Linked DNA regions of Arabidopsis thaliana. The protein of the gene in region 1 binds, or shares a complex with, the protein of each later gene. Each region holds a gene or a part of one and is shown on either strand. Other genes may lie near its edges. The genes, in order: CLUB and TRS120.

Region 1 (9,525 bases):
TTTTCCCAGCCAATGCTTGGATTTCTAAGAGGCTGTTTCAGCTTTCTCTTCTAGAATCTATAGTTTTCGCGACCCAGTGGTTTTAGTTAAAGTGCTTTGAAGCCAAAACTAGGTGTTTTCAAGAATGGGGATACTGAAATTTGGACCGTGTCATGTTAGGAAGACTTGCTATAAGTACATAGAGGTTAGTGTGACCATTTCACCTCTTGGAATGTGAGTTTATCTGACTGTCTAGTGTTTGTGATGTAGAAGTCCATTATTCTTGTCTGTGTATCAGTCTAAACTAGATACTCAAAGGAACATTACATTTGCAAGAATATAGATTTGTACCAAAGAGCATTAGGATTAATCAAAATAGGACTACTGAGAACTGAAGGGACAGATTTGATGTCCATTGTTTGATCCGTGCCTCTCACAGTTGAACTTGTTTGTCAAATCAAGTTAAATTGTTTGTGAATTTAGCGTTGTATTATATGTGAGATCTATAGGTATATTTGTCATATGGTTTTCCGTATATTCATGCCCTGTTTCTGATTAAACAAACACTGAATCCAAAAAAAAAAAAATGATGTAAAAGGAAGAAATTTCTTGTACATATCCGCCGCGTGAAAAGATGTAAAATCCGATAATTATAGTCATCTACTCTAAATTTGCAAAAGAAATTAGACCTAATAACCAAACAAGTTTTACGAATTACCAAACATTTTTGTTTCTTTGGTTGTTTCATTTTTCTTTTTCTTTTGGAGAAATCCATCTTTCATAACTTCAATCCTTAGATTTACCTAAATTCCAACAAGTCAAACCAAAACCATAAATCAACCAAATCTTTATTTGATGTTACCATGTAACTAAATTCTAAAATACCAGTCTTTATTAAAGAAACGTATAATCCTTCTTCTTCCTAAAAGGGGTTCATTAATCATACAACTCCTTCATGTTTAATGCAGAAACCACTCAACACTCATTCATATTACATAACCCAAAGAAATTCATCAACATTGTCATAGCTAAAGAAAGAACACACATTCAACACTCCTCTGAACATTCCGCTAACACCCCTACTTGCTTTGTGTACCTTATTAATTCCAAAAACATGAAGAAGATAATCAAGAGACAGGTAGACCATATAAGCTTACAGATATCGTTGATGTGAGTTTTATATTACCTAGAAGAGAAGAGGGTGATATATTACTTAGATCCCACGAATCATCACTCATCTGTGACAGAAATACAGGAACAAAAAAGGAATAAGACATTGTCATTTGGTCAGATCATAGATATATCTACTGGAATAACACTTTATTCACAACACACATTTCACTGTTCGAAGATACACAGAGAGGGATCACTTAAAATATCATGCAGATTATACATTGCTAGTCGTGATGCAGTATGGTGGAGATAACAAATGTAACCTATAGATAATAGCCTTTTTACCTTATCAGTGTACATTCAGATCTTTTTACAAATTCACTAGGTAGCTCCGATCTTGTAACGTATACCAAATGCTCCAGAACTAACACCAGTGACTATCTTACAGAAGAAGCAATCTACGAAACTCAGTAACTTTATTTGACAAGTTTTCATCTGAACTTGTCATAAAAGTAAGAAGGTAGTGCCTACATCTCAGTTAGATTTGATATCTAAACATTACCCAAGAGTATAGATAAAAAAAATTTTGGCATGTTAACCAGATTCTTCCTACATATTCCCATTCTTTCCTAAATTTTCCTCTGTTAACATTGTAACCTTTCCTAGTCTGGACCAAAGCAAACAACAACAAAAAGTATAATTGAAGCTTCCTTTTTAGAACTACTGCACTATTTGATTTTCAATGTTTCATACAACAACAAGTATACAGTCACCAACTTACGAAATGAGGGGTTATAGAAGACATAATTTCTTATCTGCCTTTTCCCAAGTCAAGAATCATAATACTTGGATGCTAATGATACTTAATGTTGCCTCAAACTAAACCGAACAGAGGAAAAATAAATCAAACAAACTCACTTAGAAAAGTTTATCTTCAAGGGTCAAAAGAAACTTTCCTCTGGACTAGAGTACTTTTAATCTAAAGTCTAAACGCAATCAATGGGTAGTGTAAACAATGCAAGAAATAGAACGATGTCGGCGCTTCTTTGTCCCATGTGTAGGGGAACAATAATCTTCTAACATATATTACAGCAAATTAGCCATAACCACCAAAAATTATGATATATACTATACAACTAACTTCAGTAAATAGAAACAGTTTCGGCAGATGAAGAAGATATATACAAATTCATAGAACGAATACACTAAAGCTAGGAAATCATCTATGTACATGACCATCATCCTCAATTTTCGGGTAAGCAAGGCAATGAACATGGACAGCATTTCTCACTAAATCGACAAAATCATCTTAGTTCAGCTATAAAAGGATCTCATTTTCCTGTGCTACCATCTATGGCAATCTTTTTCACAACATATTCACGTGATCACAAAATTCACAACACTCACTACACTACTGAATCTAAATCTGACACATCAACAGAAACATCCATGAAAAAAATAACAACGAAAGCAGCTTATCTAATCAATCACTGAATCACATAGAGATAGAGATAATTGATCCCTGACCTTTGATGTGTTCATGATGAGCAGAAGCAGAAGCAGCAACAACATCTCCATCATCATCTCCACCAGACTTGACAGTAACAATAGGCACAGGTCCATCACGATCATCAGGATATCTAACCACAACAACAGGACAAACACAGTGATGAACACAGTAATCACTAACAGAGCCAAGCTTGCCATCACTTCCTCTTTTTTTCTCAGCACCAAAACCTCTACTTCCCATAATCACAGCACTAAGACCAAGCCTCTCAATCTCAAGACATAATCTCTCTCTCATATCATGATCTTTCACTATATGGATCTTATAAGGAAACCCTAACTCCTTCAACGGTTTAGCTAGATCCGCAACTTTTGTTGAAGTAAAAGCATCAAAATCCTCTTGACTAGGTTGAGGTTGAGCGTTTGGATCTTCAATTTGAGTTTTCAGAGGGAGAGGTCCCCAATCGGCACCGAAGAGGACGGAGGTTGGAGAAACGTGGAGAAGAACAACGGCGTCTCCGGGACGGATGTAGTGATCTACAGCCCAACGAACGGCGAAAGAGCTTTCTTCGGAGAGATCAACTGCGACTCCGATTTTACGACGAGCTCCGGCGGTTGGTGTTGGAGTTGCGGCGGAGGAGGGAGTAGATGAGGAGTGGTGATGGTGAGAGTGACGTGGAGATGGAGGGTGATGGATCTTGATGTTTGGAAGCTGTGGATGATCGGAATCTGCTGGATTCATGATTTTTTTCAGATGTTGTTTTTGTTCGTCGGAAAGTGGGAGTGAGGGAGGTTTCTCTTAACGGAGAAGAAAGAAGCGTTGTTTTTGTTTTTTTAATAGAACATTAGACTGCATGCCGTTATTTATATACAAAGACGACAAGCATTCTAATATAGATGTAGTTAATAGAAGGAGTGATCCAACGGTCAGGATCAAATCTGAGCGCCATAGTTTTGAAGAAGACGATTCACTAGATCTCCGGCGTCGGTGATTTCCTCCACTTCCTTTTCTGGCAGCTAGAAGACGAAACCTCACTCAAATTCTGATCTCTTTGTATAATTCGATCGAGTTATTCGTATGATTCGTATAGATCGGTGACTCAGATGGCGAACTACTTGGCTCAGTTCCAGACGATTAAGAATTCCTGCGATCGTCTCGTCGCCGCCGGTGAATTTCTCCCCAATTTTTTTCAAATGTGTACATTTCTAGGGGTTTTGTTTCTCTACGATTGCTGCATTCGATTAGGATCTTATTTCTCCTTTTTTTTTTCTGCCACATTTTGCGATGTCATAGCTATATATTAGTGGAAAGTTTCTCAATGTAGGTGAAGGATCAAATCAGATGATATGAATCTGTTAGGTTGTTGGTTGGTCAGGTTATACTCATGAATGAAGCTAAAAGTGCTTAGAAATGAGCATCCATTCCTGAAGGGAACTGATCATGATGATTTCTTTTGTTTCTGATCTTAAACTCTACTTGTTCGTTAGTATTAAGATGTCTTCTCTTTATATTGTTCCCGTTGCTCGTTGTAATAGTGGTTGCTTGCATATTCTTTTACAGTGGAAGATGTGTGTGATCTGTGGCCTACAGTGAAAGGTTTATTTGAAGAACATCAGCCATTAAAAAGAGCATTCTTGACTAACAAGACTCGAAATCCGGTTTTTGTTGAGAACTTGCCGGTTGAATTCATATTAACTACAGACGCGAGGCTTCGTAGTCGATTCCCGCAGGAGCAGTATTTGTTCTGGTTTCGAGAACCATACGCAACTATAGTTCTTGTCACATGTGAGGTACTTGCTTGTTGATATGATGATATGTGTTTTTTTTTTCTGTATCAATCTTGGCAGTGGAGAGTAGTCACGTGCCAAAATATGAAACAAAGATGATGTGCTTGATGATATTCGTTTCTGTTTTCCTTTTCTATAAGAGATAAGAACCTATGTTTAGATAGTAGGTACCGTTTCTAATGTATATGGTTTCTGGATTAGGTTAGATTTATCACTTATGTGGTTCGACAATTTTTGTTCTTCTAGCTTTTCTGAGTATACCTTTGACCTTGCAGGATCTTGATGAGTTTAAAAACATTCTCAAACCACGTCTGAAATTAATTGTTCAGAATGATGAGAGGGAATGGTTTATTGTATTTGTATCTAAAGCTCATCCAAGTAATGATCAAGCAACTAAAAATGTCAAGAAAGTATATGCGAAGCTTGAAGTTGACTTCAGTTCAAAAAAGAGAGAAAGGTAAGCTATGCAGATTGGACTGTGTTTATGTTTTTTTGCTCTGATACAAGCAGGCACGAACCGAAAAAATACCATGCCAGATTCCTAATGAGACTTGATTGCTCCTACTATAGTTCTAACATAAATAGATTAGGTTAAACAGTTTGCACGATTGCAATCACTCATATTTTTGCTAGATGCATAAACTAAACCCATTTAGCAGTAATCACTCATTTAAAGGAAGTTATCTTTAAGTTATATACTTATGGAAATGCAGACGGGATAAACGCTAAAACACCTTTTTATTTACTTGATCAGTTTTACTTCATTTATGCATGCCATACATAGTCTTCATATGATAATTTTTGCAATGCTTTTAAGGTGCTGTAAGCTGGATGTACATGGCCCTGAAGGAAATTTTTGGGAGGACCTTGAATTAAAGATTACCGAGTGCATCAGGAATACCTTGGATAGGCGCGCACAATTCTACGAGGATGAGATACGCAAGCTCAGTGAGCAGCGGTTTATGCCAATATGGAACTTTTGTAACTTTTTCATCCTGAAGGTTAGCTCTCTTCTCAATTTGTGAATGGAAAGTGACATGTGACTTCTACGCAAATGAATAAAATGGTTTAAAATCCTGTTTCTTCCTTTTTGTAGTTAGATTTTATACTTTTTTAATAAAGTCTCTGATGGAGATTTATGTGCCCCTTTTGTTTCTTCCATAGAAGTATGAAAATAATCCCCAAGCTTAGAAATCAACATTGGTCCTTGCAGTCACATTTGATGAAACTTTTCTCATTTTCTTAAAGGTCATAATGTTCTATGCTGTCTCAGGAAAGTTTGGCTTTCATATTTGAGATGGCTCATCTTCATGAAGATGCATTACGTGAATATGATGAACTAGAGCTCTGCTATTTGGAAACAGGTTCTTTTCCTACCTCTATATCTCTCTCTTGCAGATCCGTGGCAGCAAAAATTTCATGTTTTGTCTATTTGTTATATTTTATATTCTTAGGTTTTGACAAACCTGACATGTATCTTTATCTCTTAAAGCATTTGGGATCAGTATTCATCCAACAAACTGATTTCTTTTTTCAAGTTTTTTTTTTCTGAACAAATAATCTATCATGCATCACCTTCAATGCAGTTAATATGCCTGGGAAACAGAGGGATTTTGGAGGATTCGACGGTGAAGATGACCAAGCTGTGCTGCTGAAACCAGGAAGCAAACCATTGACACAGATTGTGCAAGATGATTCTTTTAGAGAATTCGAGTTTAGACAGTATCTCTTTGCCTGTCAATCTAGGGTTGGTGCACACAAGAGACATCATATCGATCACAGTGTCCTTTTCTCCTTTCAAAACTGTAGCTTTACTTTTACAACCTTTTCATTAGCTTACCTCTATGTGGTTCTTTGCAGCTGTTGTTCAAGTTGAATCGTCCATTTGAAGTTGCATCTAGGGGATATTCTTTTGTTATTAGTTTTGCAAAGGCCTTGACCCTTCATGAGGTAGCCTATACTGTTACTAAAGAAACGCTTATCTTACTTTTGGTTAGTTGATTTGACCGACCTTATTTCCTCTCTTCTTTTGATATTTTTGTAGAGTGTACTGCCCTTCTGTATGCGAGAAGTTTGGGTAATTACTGCATGTTTAGCGCTGATCGAAGCAACTGCTTCTCATCACCATGATGGCGTTGTTGCACCTGATATTGAGAAGGAATTTTTCCGTCTTCAGGGTGATCTCTATTCACTTTCACGGGTTAAGGTAGAAATCTGCTTGCTTTCAAAATATGTACAATGAACAAAACTTCCTATTTGCTGACATCCTCTTTCAATTATTGACTGGAATTTGAACCGAGGTCTCTGTTGAGTAATTTCTTTTGAGTTGATATTGCATTTGTCTGTGTCATAGTTCGGTAATTGTCTTATGTGATGTCTACTAGTTTCTTCATGTCCAATCACTTAAAAAGTTTTTTTGTTGGTTGCATATAACTACAATATGAAAATTATTTTCAAGTGCTTATACCCATTGAAATGCCTTTATGTCATGGCAGTTCATGAGACTTGGATATCTGATAGGATATGGAACAGACATCGAAAAGAGTCCACTGAACAGGTACGGGTCTATTTTTGTTATAGCATGTGCGTTACCTGTTATATAGAAGTATTAATTCTCCAATGACTTCCCGTAGAGAAAGGATTACGCAATTAGTGAGGAATTATATGTGTCACTTTAAATAAACAGAGCAAGTCTTTCTTTGCTGAAAAAAGCATGTCGATTTTTCTTTCTCTTTGGGAGGCTATGCTGATGATGTTTAGTAGTAACTCCTACCCATTTTATGGACAGTGCTTGTCTCAGTATGCTGCCTTGGCCAAAACCGGCTGTCTGGCCATCTCTTCCACAAGATGCTTCCTCGGAGGTGCTTGAAAAAGAAAAGGTATAATATACATATGCTGCGTGAATGTGTTATCTATCTGATAGCATTGTTATTGAAGCCAATCATGCTTTTAGATTCGAGCTAAGAGTTAGCTGTACTTGCATGGCCTCTAGTGGACACTGACATAATACCAGGGTATTGTTTGTAAATGTATTATATGCGAGATTTAGGGCTGCGTAACTATATTTACCATCTGTTTCGTTTTTCTTTTATAATACTTATCTCCTTTTTTTGGTAAAAGACTATTCTTCAAGCAACTTCAAGGACCAAGCACTTTGGTATTCAACGGAAAGCCTTACCTCTTGAACCATCTGTCCTTCTACGTGTGGCTAACAGAAGAAGGGCTTCTCTTTCAACCGGAAATATTCCTGAAATGTTTGATGGGCGCCCAAGTTTTACTGAAGGGTAATGAAATTTGTAAAATTCTTTTCTTTAGCCCTTCTTGTTTTCAAATTTGTTAGTACTTTAATCTCATATATCTTCGAAGTTTCCAGGAAGTATTGCAAATCATCACCTTCTGTTATAAGGAACTAAAATGATATCTTTATAAATTTCGACAGATCAGGTTTAGAAGCGTCTCCGAGAACACCTTCATCACTTAAAGTACAAGCACCTCCCATGTCAAGAACAAATTCTTCACCAGGAAATTTTGAGAGTCCCCTAGATAGGCCTATGAGGCTTGCTGAAATTTTTGTTGCAGCTGAGCACGCTCTACGACTTACCATTTCAGATCATGATTTGTTGAAGACATTGTCATCTATTCAGGATTTCGAGGTAGCCTGCTAATACCATTTACATAAGGACAATGAAGCTTCTGATTTTATGCTGCTCTTTATTCTAGCTTCTCATGTATATAAATTTTGTTGTGGCAGAATAAATATCTTAACCTAACCAAAGGTGCTGCCGAAAACTATCACCGTTCCTGGTGGAAGAGACATGGAGTCGTTCTCGATGGGGAAATTGCAGCTGTCTGCTTCAAGCACGGAAAATATGATTTGGCTGCAAACTCTTATGAAAAAGTTTGTGCCCTTTATGCGGGTGAAGGATGGCAAGATTTACTGGCAGAAGTCTTGCCTAATTTAGCACAGTGTCAAAAGATTCTTGATGATCAAGCTGGGTACATGTCATCTTGTGTTAGACTACTTTCGTTGGATAAAGGATTATTCTCGTCCAAGGAGCGGCAAGCTTTTCAGTCCGAGGTTGTTACTCTTGCACACAGTGAAATGAAGAACCCAGTTCCCTTAGATGTGTCATCATTGATCACATTTTCTGGAAATACTGGCCCTCCACTTCAGTTGTGTGATGGAGACCCTGGGAATCTATCTGTTACTGTGTGGAGTGGCTTTCCTGATGATATCACCCTTGATTCGCTTAGTCTTACCTTGGTAGCCACCAACAACACTGACGAAGGCGGCCAGGTTTGCCTCCATTAGACATGACTTTTCTCGTTCTTTTCTTCAATTAATTTCACGTTCTTAAGAACTTTGTATATGGACTGGCTTTCAGGCTTTAAAGAGTTCCGCTGCAACTGTGCTAAACCCCGGAAGGAATACTATCACTTTTGCTCTGCCTCCACAAAAACCCGGTTCCTATGTCTTGGGAGTTGTTACTGGCCAGATTGGGCGCTTGAGATTCAGGTCTCATAGCTTTTCGAAGGGTGGTCCTGCAGATAGTGACGACTTCATGAGTTATGAGAAGCCAACCAGACCTATCCTGAAGGTAGAAAATCATTAATTACATGCATGAGTAGTGATACTCTTGTGGACACTTGTTTCCTTCGTTGATACGGTATACATTTTGTTCTTAGGTTTCCAAACCAAGAGCTCTGGTTGATCTTGCTGCAGCTGTATCTTCTGCTCTGCTAATAAATGAAGCCCAGTGGATTGGTATCATAGTACGTCCTATTGCTTACTCACTTAAAGGCGCGATCTTGCACATTGATACTGGTCCAGGGCTAAAGATTGAAGACTCGTATGGAATTGAGATGGAGAGATACATGGACGCAGATTGTGATACTGGTGCATCAAAAGCTGAGGTTTTTGTTGAAGATAGTCCTGTCTCTTCAAAACGGGATTCAGAGGTGCTTAATCTTTGCGATGGTAAAATAGTGTTCTCAGATTGGGCTAGCAATGTGAGTTCTATTCTTTGGGTCCCTGTTCGTGCCTTGAGTGAGAAGCTTGCTAGAGGGTCATCATCAGGTTTGCAGCAAACAATGATTTTTTGATTATTATGACATGTTTGTGTCACATCCACTGGCCAA
Region 2 (12,153 bases), about 19 Mb from region 1:
CAAATTTTTTTTGTAACTAACAATGAGCCTACAATTGAAGTTCTCACTATTTTTTTGACTAATGACTTTTCAACTTTTCTTCCACGAGCTCGATGCATCGATATAGAACCAATTCAATTGGGTTCAGAAGCCCTACATCGTCGAGTGAAGATTCTTGGCCATGATCCTCCTTGAGGTTCTCAGCGATGCTGCAGCTCACAAGAGTTCGAAGAGGCAGAAGCCATTCCTTATACGCTTTCTCCAGATTCTTCTTTGACAAAATATCACTGCCGACTTTGCTTCTCTCTTTACCTGCTTCACATTCTATAGCTTTGTCTTGTCAGAAAAACACCACAAGAACAAGAGAGATGAAATGACAAAACCGCACTGCCTACTAATTTGCAATATTTTAAATAGTCAGATTTCCTCCATTTACTTGGAAGGAAATGAGATAAAGCAAAGTACATTTTCAACTTGACATTTTAACATTTTAGAGGGTATACGACTTTTTACCTCTCGATTCAAATAACAGTGCAAACCTGTAGAGGTTAAGTGCCGCCAGGATCTGCACAAACATCACACAAAGACTTTTGTTACACAAATGTGGTTAAATAATCGATCTTCAAACACAACCATGTTTCTCCTTATTTTCGTTCTGACCCTCTGATTCTTATAAATAGTGAAAATTCTGGGGTCTTTTGTTATCGCAGTTTTCCTTACGACAAGTTAGAAAACAATGCAACATCATAAAATTCCTTAATTAGCGAGAAAAGCAAGCTACTCTCATTTGCACAGAAAGGGGCATTTTCTCTATTTCTCGGTATGTATGTAATGTTTGTCCTTTTAAGCATTTACCTTAACCCATATCATTGCATTGCCTAAAGGGCTTATAGTATGCACATGAAAAGAGAAACAAAACATACTTTTAAAGAATTGATATAGGAAAAGAAAAGATCACCGCATCACTCTGGTCCGGAAGGAGTGGAGGACCTCCCTGTGGAGGCCTTAAGACCAACTCCACTAGCTCAATAACATGCGTATCAACAGCCGCACAATCTGTATCTTGCAAACTGCTTTTGCTCATGCTGTCTTTAACTAGACCCAGAAGGATTGCTGTCTGGTTGATTTAGCAAAAGATATTAGTTGAAATGGGATACCTTTCTCTTTTGGAACCAAATGTTTAAAAATATTATCTCAGTATGACTACTGAAGACATTAAACTATGCAGTTTATGAATGGTCAACGCCAAAGGTGACCATGATGGCATTTACTATTCATAAAGCTCAGTGGGATACAAATATACTAACCATTGAAGGAGACCGGGAATTTGTGACAAGGGCTCTTAAAACGTCAAACCTATGAGGAGCTGGGATATCAGAAAGAACCTAATCAAACAGCACAAAAGTAAGATTGTAAGACGAGATTATTAATCATCTCTGTTTAAACTTTAACCAAGCCCAATAGATAACTAAATTTCTGAATGAAGAAGATATGTTTTTAAAAAAGTATATGAAAAGAAAGAAAAGCAAGGCATATGGACTGAGGGTAGTCATTCTGTGTCAAAGTTGGCTGATACCTCTTCTACTTATAAAATATAATCAGCACAAGTCAAATCATCTGAATTGGTTAAACCATCATTTCTGTGTAAAAACATCAATAACGAGTATAGATCTAAAGAATCAGAATTTTGAGGAAACAAAAGCCATTCAAAAGTTTGTGTTGTTCGTTCTTTTTTTGTGGATTCATGCTTCATATAGTATCAATTCTGCGTCACTCAAAATCAGTTATCCAAATTTTGATTAAGTCAAGGTTTATTTACCCTCTTCAGTGCCTCAAATGTCTTTTTCCTCAGATCTGCGTCTGGCGCATACATGATCAGTAATGTAACAGCCTGGTTGAAAGAAACGAGACACTTGGAGCGCTAGTAATTGGTAAACCTGAATGGTGTAAAGATTAAGGAGAAGAATATTACACCTGTAAAGTAGCGTAGATGCCAGGCGTGTAGTCCGAACAATCTATTTGCTCATCATTGCATTGAGATGAAGTAACTCCTTTTGTTATGTCAAGCAAGAACTCGATAGCATGTCTTTTGAATTCCCAGAGCAGATCTCCAGAGGAAAGTATATATTTCAACATCCCATAAGCTTGCCACCTTTTCACTGGATTGTTTTGAAGCTCATCAACAACACTTCCTAAAACCGCATTAGCCGCCTCTGCAACCTCATGGGAGATCTTTGCACAGATGAATAAAAGCGATGCACCCAAGCTGATGTCAGGGAAAGAGGTGATAAACTCATCATCATCTGTTCATTTTACAACCATGAGACATGTGATACGAGAACAGATGCGTGTTATTGAGAAATCAGGAAGAAGTGTTTTTGAGTATTGAGAGTAACCTCCAGCAACCGTGCTCATTAATTTTTCAGTGTCATTCCCCGTGATTAAACCAAGATGTGTTAAACCACAGGATGTCAAGAACGGTTCTAACTGAATCACCAGAGGAATACAAGAGGCCGCTTTGTCTCTGATGCTAACTGAAATAATAGCCTGCAAAACCAGACCAAATCTAAGGTATTGAAGAAAATCTATATGCTCATAATAAAAGAGAAAAGTCAGAAAAGTTCCATGATATCGAAACAAAGTTGGAATCAAGTACAAACCGTTATCTGTATCACATAGAGACAAAGTAGACAACGGACTTTTGCTTCTTCTTCGTTATTCTGTAAAACAAAGAAAAGAGATCAAATCAGGCAAAACGAATATTCAAATTAGAGAATTTACACTTTGGGTAGTGATTTAGGGAATCCTAATTGCCAATTTATCAAACTTACAGACCAGTTTTGAAGAAACGTCTCGAATTGAAGAGGCAATGCCTAGAGCCTTATCAAATAAATCTTCAACTTGCACGTCTGTTTCCAATGAAATGTCCTTCAAAACGTTCAGGACAATTGGAACTGCAACCTTTAATTGCTCGTAGTGACGCCTCTGGATCAAAATAAATACTGAAACCAGGAAATTTGAATAACTTTTTACTGCTTCAGTTCACGAAGACTAAATTAATATCTTCAGTAACAAAACTAGTTAGGGATTCAAACACAAACTTTAAGATATTCATACTTAAGTACAATCAAAGCAAGAGTATTACTAAAATTGCAGGTGCCAAGCTAAAATTCACTTTCATGAGAGAAGTCTATAAATTTTAGGATATTCATACTTGTGTACAATCAAAGCAAGAGTATTACTAAAACTGCAGGTGCCAGGCTAAAATTCACTTTCATGAGAGGAGTCTATAAATATCTTGAAAACGAGAAATCTTCAACTGGTACCTTTAGAGAGCCCATGCAATAAAGGAGTAGAACAAGTGGAGGCTGAATGATAGCACCGTGCAGCATCGAGTGCCTGGTTCAGAGTCATAAGGTGATCAAAAAGAACTTGTAATCTTCTTATGCCAAATACCAAGAAGGAAAAAGAAATTCCAGATCAATTACCTCACAAAGAATTGAAAGCATATCCCGTGGATTGCATGCTTCCACAAACCGATCAACGATTTCCTCAACTAACTGTAAACATCTGCTTGATATGTCTGCAAACTTGGAAGTTACTTTTGGCAAGTGAAATGACAGTGCATCTATAACATCCTGTAATAAAATGAATCGGGGAACAAAATCATAAGCTTGGTTCTCTAAACAAAATCCTTCCGTTTGGCTTTGAAAGCGATTCGAAAACTGAAAAGTACCTGATCCATTTGAGGAGATGATAAAACTTTCAAAATTTCATCTAATACTTCTTCAATAACATCGTTCTCCAGTTCATTGTTAGCATCCAAAGCTACGTTCTCATACAAAGAATCCAAACAGCTGACAAGTTCTGTCACAAAACTCTCAAAGTCTTGAAATCCTCCGGCTTCTTCAACTGACTGAAAAATCACAAAATTAGCGGCGAATTTTTCATTCGAGCTCCAAAAATCACGAAACAGCTAAGTATTCATCGATCTCAAAGCATCTAGAAATTCCACCCAGAAAACAAATTACACAAACCCGAAACGAGGAGAAGAAGAAGAGAGAAAGCTTACACTGAAACACAAAGCTAAAAGTTCTCGTACACGACGCGAAGGAGAAGTAGTGACAGTAGTTGACTCGGAGCTCCCTTCAATGGACGATTCCATAACGCCAAAACTTTTCAATTTCGCCCAAGTTTCGTTCACAGTGAGAGTATTAATAATCGCGAATTTAACCATATCGTTTGGTTATATGAATAGAGTTTAACCCCGGATAGTCTAATTCTAACTAAGAATAGTTTAATACCTGTACCCAAACAGACCACGTTCTCTCTCTCAACACTTTCTCGTTTTCGTCTCCTTCAGATCCGGTGCACTCACGCTCACCGAAAGATCCTCACTCTCCTTCTCTGATCTCGCCATGGAACCTGACGTCAGTATCGAGACTTTGTCGATCATTCGGATCGCCGTCCTTCCGATCGGCACTATTCCGCCGACGCTTCTCCGGGACTACCACTCGATGCTGCTCCGTCATCACACGATCGCGCTCTCAGCTATTAGCTCTTTCTACACTGAACATCAGAAATCTCCATTCACGAATCAGCCGTGGGATTCCGGCTCTCTCCGGTTCAAATTTGTGCTTGGTGGTTCTCCTCCGAGTCCTTGGGAGGATTTTCAGTCTAATCGGAAGATGCTCGCCGTGATCGGCCTTTGCCACTGTCCCTCGTCCCCTGATCTTGATTCTGTCACTGAAAAATTCAATGTCGCTTGTAAGAGTTATTCCTCGGCTCTTGTCCGGCGCTGCTTCGCTTTCTCCCCTGGCGATTCGCAAGTAAGTATATTAGTTTCCATGCTTCTTATCTGCTATGGCATTCTTAGCTCGATGCCGATGGATCTAGCTAGCTTTTTTCTGATTTGTCTCTACAGTTGATAGTGATGTCCATTTTTTGTACCAGTGATTTAGTTACTTGCTTATGGATGCGTTAGATTGACGATTTACTGAACAATGTACTGTCTTTTGCAGCTTGAAGATGGAGACAAGAAGGGTGAAAATTTGATTTTGTTTCCTCCATCTGACAAGCAAACTCAGGAGTTTCATTTACAAACAATGATGCAAGACATTGCCGCTTCGCTGTTAATGGAATTTGAGAAGTGGGTTCTTCAGGCAGAATCTGCTGGCACAATTTTGAAGACGCCTTTGGATTCCCAAGCTAGTCTCAACTCAGAGGAGGTTTATGTCTAGGTGTCCTATAATTTGGTCTACGTTTCATTTCTTCCTCTGGAAGCTTATAACTTATTAGCATAGTCTTCTAGGCTCACTAGTTTTGTTTAATGCAGGTTATTAAGGCCAAAAAGCGTAGGCTGGGACGTGCACAAAAAACTATAGGAGACTATTCCTTGTTGGCTGGTTCACCTGTTGATGCCAATGCTCATTATTCTACTGCTCTGGAACTGGCCAGATTGACTGGAGATTACTTCTGGTATGCCGGTGCCTTGGAAGGCAGTGTTTGTGCCTTACTGGTAAGGCTTTATGCAAATATATCTCTAAATGCATTGTTCTTACATTTTTAATAGTATTATAGTCCAAAAACATGGATAGTGATGTGCTGTTTATCGAAAGTGCACTGATTATGAAATTGCTCTCATCTGTCCCTCTTTAATTAAGTTTGCAATCATCTTAGTTTTCCGTTTTCTTAATATTAGGTAGATCGGATGGGTCAACGTGATGTGGCTTTAGAAGATGAAGTTAGATATCGATACACTAATGTTATCTTGCACTACAGAAAGTCATTTATTCAAGAAATTGCTCAGAGGTAATTCTACCAACCTGTTTGGCTTTCTTCTTCGATAAACTTAAGTAATAGCAATCAATTCTCTTCCTTGCAGAGTTTCGCCCCTAAGCTTTGAACTCGAAGCTACCCTTAAGCTGGCCAGATTCCTTTGCAGGTATCATTGTATGCTCTCTATTTCTTTAAATTATCATGGTGTGGTTTCCTTTCTTGCCGTCTCCTGCTTAAGTTTAAGGTTGCTATGGTATTTTTGTCTAGTAGGAAGCTATATCGCTACTAAAATTTAAATATAAACTCATGGGATCTTGTGTGTGTGTGGCTTTGATCCTCTAAAACTATCTGCAACATTCAACTTATAATACCAATATATTGAGATTACTATTAAGTATTAAGTGGCCTAGTGGAGGATGGCTGTATGTTAATGTTTTGTGATTGATGGTGATGTTAGCTGGGAAAAGAATAATTATTACGTTTTGAAAAAGCTAAAATACATGGGTTTTCCGTTTAGTATGAAATGATACTCTCTGGTTGTGGCAGCTTTTATGTTTTTTTAACCTTCTGGTTGCATCCTCATTTTTTTCTTGGTATCTTTGATCTTAATCATTCTTACAATGTCATTTTATGTGTTGTGCAGGAGGGAACTGGCTAAGGAAGTAGTAGAGCTATTAACAAATGCAGCTGATGGTGCAAAGTCTTTAATTGATGCCAGTGATAGGCTCATATTATATGTTGAAGTAGCGCGTTTATTTGGAGCCCTTGGTTATCAACGGAAAGCAGCCTTCTTCTGTAGGCAGGTCGCCCAATTGTATTTGCAGCAAGACAATCGATTGGCTGCTATCAGTGCCATGCAAGTTCTCTCTATGACAACTGATGCATACAGAATTCAAAGTAGGGCATCCATGTCAAAAGTGTCGGTTAACAATGTGAGTTTGCCAGCATAGGCATTATTTTTCCTCTCTTGTGTTTGATTGAGCATGGTTTTCTGGAGTTTTTTTTGTTATCATCACTTTTCACTATCTTGGTATTTATCCATGTATCATACTTTGATAATATATTGTATCTTCTCTTGTGTTTGTTGGTAAAGGAAACTGGGCGCCTACCTGACGCTGGGAAAATGCATCATCATTCCATTGTCTCCCTGTTCGAGTCCCATTGGAGCACTTTGCAGATGGTTGTGCTTAGGGAGATACTCCTCTCTGCTGTTCGTGCTGGAGATCCCTTAGCTGCATGGAGTGCTGCAGCTAGGCTTCTGAGGTGGCATTATCCTCTAATTACACCTTCAGGTCAAAATGGACTTGCTAATTCCCTTGCAAATTCAGCGGATAGATTACCTTCTGGAACTCGCTGTGCTGACCCTGCCTTGCCTTTTGTAAGGTATGTTTATCAGCAGTCAACCTTTTTGCTCTCAGAGATGTTTTGCTTGTGCACTCTCACCATCATGAAACAACCTAACTTGGTCATGTTATATTTCCTAGCACTCTAAGTAGAGCAACGAGATCAGAAAAATAAGTAATAATCTCTTTTAATCCATCTCTTGGGCTTCATATATGCCCAATATGTGTTTATTTTCAGGAATGTGTTCCATGTTTGGTTCTTAGCTGACTCTGGCAAAACTGTGTATGTTTTGGCAAATTTTAATGGTTCTTCTAAGCATGATTATTTTAATGAAATTTCAGGCTATTCTCTTTCCCACTCCATTCCTCCCAAGTGGACATCGTAAAACGCAATCCAGCAAGAGAAGATTGGTGGACAGGCTCTGCTCCTTCTGGGCCATTTATTTACACTCCTTTCAGCAAAGGAGATGCCAACGAAAGTAGCAAGCAGGAATTGATTTGGGTGGTCGGTGAACCAGTTCAGGTCTTAGTGGAGTTAGCAAATCCTTGTTGCTTCGATTTGCGGATTGATAGTATTTATCTCTCAGCTCACTCGAGTAACTTTGATGCGTTTCCTGTCAGTGTGGACATTCCCCCTAACTCTGCAAAAGTGATCACATTATCTGGTATTCCAACAGCTGTAGGACCAGTGACAATTCCAGGCTGCACAGTTCACTGCTTTGGTGTAATCACTGAACATGTGTTCAGGGATGTTGACAATCTGCTTCTTGGAGCAGCACAAGGACTTGTATTTTCTGACCCTTTCAGATCCTGCGGATCTGCAAAGCTACGACATGTATTTGTTCCTAACATATCAGTTGCTCCTCCATTGCCCCTCCTTGTGGCTAATGTTGTGGGTGGTGATGGTGCAATTATTCTGTATGAAGGTGAAATTCGGGAGGTGTGTATAAATTTTGCAAATGCTGGCACAGTTCCAATAGTACAGGCACATGTCTCGCTCTCTGGAAAGAATCAGGATGCTGTTATCTCGATCGCAGATGAAGCTTTACAGTCTGCTCTTCCCTTGAAACCTGGGGCACAAGTGACTCTGCCTGTGACTTTAAAAGCTTGGCATGTGGGTCCAACTGATTCTGACAATACTATGAGCAGTGGCAGGAATGCTGCGGGTAACACAGGAAGACCAAAAGACGGAACCAGTCCATCATTGCTTATTCACTACGCAGGTATTCATTTCTTCCTTGACGTATGTTTCTATGTATCTTACTTTTTCAGTGCTTCATGTATCCTCACGATGACTAATTACTAAAAGCATTTTTGTATTCATATTTTTGCAGGGCCATTGTCTAACAATGGGGATTCCCAAGAAAAAGAATCTATCGTGCCACCGGGCAGACGGCTTGTTGTTCCCTTACAAATTTGTGTTTTGCAAGGTTTGTCGTTTGTGAAAGCTCGTTTGCTTTCCATGGAAATCCCTGCACATGTGAGTGACAACCTTCGGGATGAAGACATTGAAAGAGAGAGCAATGCAGACAGCCTTGTCAAGATCAATCCCTTTAGGGGAAGCTGGGGACTACGGTTTCTTGAACTTGAGTTATCTAACCCAACAGATGTTGTTTTTGAAATCAGCGTCTTCGTTCAGCTGGAAAACTCTGCCAAGGAAGATGATTCTTCACCAGTACAAGATTCTCCAGAGTATGAATACCCGAAAACAAGAATCGACCGGGACTATTCTGCTAGGGTACTGATTCCATTGGAGCATTTTAAGCTACCGGTTCTTGATGGTTCATTCTTCACAAAGGACCCTCCACCTGGTAGCCCTTCAAGTAGTAGAAATCCGAGCTTCTCAGAGAAGAACACGAAAGCTGAGATAAACACATTGATCAAGAATCTCATCTCTAAGATAAAAGTTCGGTGGCAATCAGGAAGGAACAGCTCAGGAGAACTGGACATCAAGGATGCAATTCAGACAGCTCTCCAGACGACTGTGATGGATGTTTTGCTCCCAGATCCGCTAACATTTGGTTTCAGACTGGTCAGAAACGGTCTGGAGAAGGATCCTGAGACAAAGGCTGAGTCCCCATTTTCAAAGGGATCTGTTCTGTCACATGAAGTCACTCCTATGGAGGTTCTGGTCCGCAATAACACTAGCGAAGCTATCAAGTTGAATCTAAGTGTTACTTGCAGAGATGTAGCTGGACAGAACTGCACTGAAGGAGCTGATGCCACTGTCCTCTGGGCTGGTAAGATTCCTGTCACTAAGTAATAAATATTTGTGTAACATAGATATTTGCTGCCATTATAGCCGTGTGTATTACAATGAGATATGTAAAAGGTGGCTTATACTTTTGTCAGGTGCTCTTAGTGGAATCTCAATGGAAGTAGCGCCGCTGCAAGAAGCAAGACACTGTTTCTCACTCTTCTTCCTTGTTCCAGGAGAGTACACGATGGTAGCAGCTGCTGTAATTGAAGACGCTAACAATGTACTCAGAGCACGAGCAGGAACTGCTTCTCCAAACGAACCCATCTTCTGTCGTGGACCGCCTTTTCATGTCTGTGTAGCTGGAGGTGCACTGTGATTCGTTAACCAAATCAGGTCTTGGCATTATAATTTATACTCTGTTTTTTGCTCTGTTAGTTGATTTCTCGAGAATCAATTATAAGTTCCGGGTTTAAGTATGGGTCTTTATAAATATCTCTATAATTGCTTGTGTGTTTGTCTCTGTATTTACCTTGGGTCATCTTATGACCACCATGCATAGACTATGCTTTTTTGGAATTTTACGGCCTCGGTTCTGAGACTACTTTTCTCAAAGTAAGTGTTTGTACTCTGCTCAGTGGGATCACTTTCAGTGATAAAAAGAATAAAACGATTATAGCATAATATTAGCAAAAATAAAACTATTTAACCATGAATTCCTTCCCTATTGTGTATTGAAAAGGTCCACAGAGCAATGACATAACTTTCACCGTCAAATAAATACCATTCATTGATATAATCAAACAAGGCAGTGAAGTTTCCCCAAAGCTCGTATGTCGTGTATTAGTGGCCTTACGGATTAATCAATAACTAAAAAATAATACAATAATTTACTTTAGAAATAGTTACGATTATTAATTTAAAGCAAAAAAAAACTGACACAAAGTATCTTTGGCTAAAGAGGATTGTCCTATTCTATTGCGTTTGTTATTTTAAAATTCTGTGCAATTTATCTTTTTGGCTGAAAGACATGAACGAAGTTTGGTTTCATTTTGTGGTTGTAATACGCTTTCATGAGGTTATGAATATATTTTAGTCAATTACTACGTACCAATAATAATTTGGAAAAACCACCCACCAGCTATGTATGTTTGCGAGTATGATTATTGGCATTTTTTTAGTTATATTACTAGATTTTTGTTGGGGACTTCTCCTAAATTTTATCCTTCCAAATAATTGTAGTCAACTAACTAATTTATTACATAAGTAAATTTATCATTGAAGGTCTTCTCATTTGCCGCTTCGTCGGTTACACATTTACAAAAACACGTTTCAACAATTAACCTATACTATTAACTCACTAATTATCCCCACTATTTTCTTACATACGTGAGATTTATGGCCGAACAATCTTTATAAAATTCATAAATATTTAGTTAAACATTGTTCTAACTTCTATAATGTGACTAATATATCATTATATTGTTCGTAGATATTGATCTAAATAAAGATTAATGGCATCGTAAAAATATTGACTTGATCGATATTAAGTGTCAAATAGATAAAATCCATATGTGATATTTTCCTAAGTCTCAGATTTTGTAGTCTTGATTATTTTTTATCTTACTTCTAAGATATATACATGTAATAACTTTTGATGTGTAGTTGATATATTTCTATAAACTACAAAGTATCGATAACTAGAAGGACTATTTTTTACTATTATAAGGGTTATACTATTTTTGACTAAAAAGTCAATATAATTAATGAAATTTATTTAGTAATTAGTGTGCATTTTATTTTACCTCCCATTAAATTCTCATATTCCTTATTACCAGCTTAATTTTATCCCACCTTTGTGCTCTCGTCTCACCTCCCCATTCTACACTAAACTTTTTCTCCTTTTTCTTCCATGGAAGAACAGAAAATTCAAGAGAAGAGCCTCGCTCACGGCGCTGCACCACCGTTGACGGCGGTTGAGAGATTCTTGAACGGCCAAAAGAACGAAGCCTTGTGCTTCAAGAAACAAGAACGTTCTATAGACCGACCGATCGTGAAGACGACAAGGGCGATTGAGATTAGAAATGAAAACAAAGAGAACATGATGTTTGGTCCGAGGAAGGAGAAAAACTTGGCCGTTATTGGAGAAATCGTCGTTAAAGGTGCAGCTAAAGATTATACTTGCAAGGATATAACAAAGAAGCAACCATACAAGAATATCATCAAAGGGCAATGGACAGCCGATGAAGACAGGTATATATATATACTATATATTATAATTATATATGTAGATCTTCATGCTTCTACATAATACTGTGTTTGCATTATATATGATATATATTTTATTTTATTTTTGTCAAAAAAATGAGTATAATCATTATATATATGTATATAGGAAGTTGATAAAGTTGGTGATGCAACATGGAGAGAGGAAATGGGCAGTAATCTCGGAGAAGCTTGAGGGAAGAGCAGGCAAGCAATGTCGTGAGAGATGGCATAATCATCTCCGTCCTGATATCAAGGTTTTCATATAGATCTGTATTCTTACACTTAAAACTTCGGATATATATGTAAACATATTTGTTGTTTTGGTTTTGTAGAAAGATAGTTGGAGTGAAGAAGAAGAGAGACTTCTTGTGGAAGCACACACCAGAATCGGGAATAAGTGGGCAGAGATCGCTAAACTCATACAAGGGCGAACCGAAAACTCGATCAAGAACCATTGGAATGCGACAAAACGACGCCAAAACTCAAAACGCAAACATAAGCGTTCAAAAAACGCGGATAGTAACAGCGATATTGATGATCTCTCTCCATCCGCTAAAAGGCCGCGCATTCTCGAAGACTATATTAAAA

Evidence for each region.
Region 2: CLUB (region 1) and TRS120 share a complex: the UniProt entries of both Arabidopsis thaliana proteins name them as parts of the multisubunit TRAPP (transport protein particle) II complex.

Annotation. Positions count from the first base shown.
Region 1 is NC_003076.8:22,096,354-22,105,878, forward strand, and holds the start of CLUB (CLUB), read left to right. Parts: upstream 1-3,410; 5' UTR 3,411-3,702; coding exon 3,703-3,766; intron 3,767-4,159; coding exon 4,160-4,389; intron 4,390-4,661; coding exon 4,662-4,843; intron 4,844-5,203; coding exon 5,204-5,387; intron 5,388-5,659; coding exon 5,660-5,750; intron 5,751-5,972; coding exon 5,973-6,133; intron 6,134-6,246; coding exon 6,247-6,336; intron 6,337-6,430; coding exon 6,431-6,592; intron 6,593-6,881; coding exon 6,882-6,943; intron 6,944-7,174; coding exon 7,175-7,265; intron 7,266-7,506; coding exon 7,507-7,670; intron 7,671-7,825; coding exon 7,826-8,039; intron 8,040-8,137; coding exon 8,138-8,683; intron 8,684-8,771; coding exon 8,772-8,984; intron 8,985-9,072; coding exon 9,073-9,463; intron 9,464-9,525. Other genes in the region: PHOS32 (Adenine nucleotide alpha hydrolases-like superfamily protein), read right to left, coding at 1,474-1,529, 2,620-3,340. UniProt on the Arabidopsis thaliana protein: Specific subunit of the TRAPP II complex, a highly conserved vesicle tethering complex that is required for the proper transport of proteins in post-Golgi trafficking pathways to the growing cell plate in mitotic active cells.
Region 2 is NC_003076.8:3,490,935-3,503,087, forward strand, and holds TRS120 (TRS120), read left to right. Parts: upstream 1-4,260; 5' UTR 4,261-4,397; coding exon 4,398-4,808; intron 4,809-5,000; coding exon 5,001-5,207; intron 5,208-5,314; coding exon 5,315-5,497; intron 5,498-5,680; coding exon 5,681-5,790; intron 5,791-5,863; coding exon 5,864-5,923; intron 5,924-6,400; coding exon 6,401-6,689; intron 6,690-6,850; coding exon 6,851-7,140; intron 7,141-7,442; coding exon 7,443-8,323; intron 8,324-8,434; coding exon 8,435-9,340; intron 9,341-9,452; coding exon 9,453-9,676; 3' UTR 9,677-10,011; downstream 10,012-12,153. Other genes in the region: ALF4 (aberrant root formation protein), read right to left, coding at 59-303, 493-544, 938-1,096, 1,287-1,364, 1,799-1,870, 1,954-2,282, 2,376-2,526, 2,640-2,699 and 5 more; MYB64 (myb domain protein 64), read left to right, coding at 11,210-11,550, 11,693-11,819, 11,898-12,153. UniProt on the Arabidopsis thaliana protein: Specific subunit of the TRAPP II complex, a highly conserved vesicle tethering complex that is required for the proper transport of proteins in post-Golgi trafficking pathways to the growing cell plate in mitotic active cells.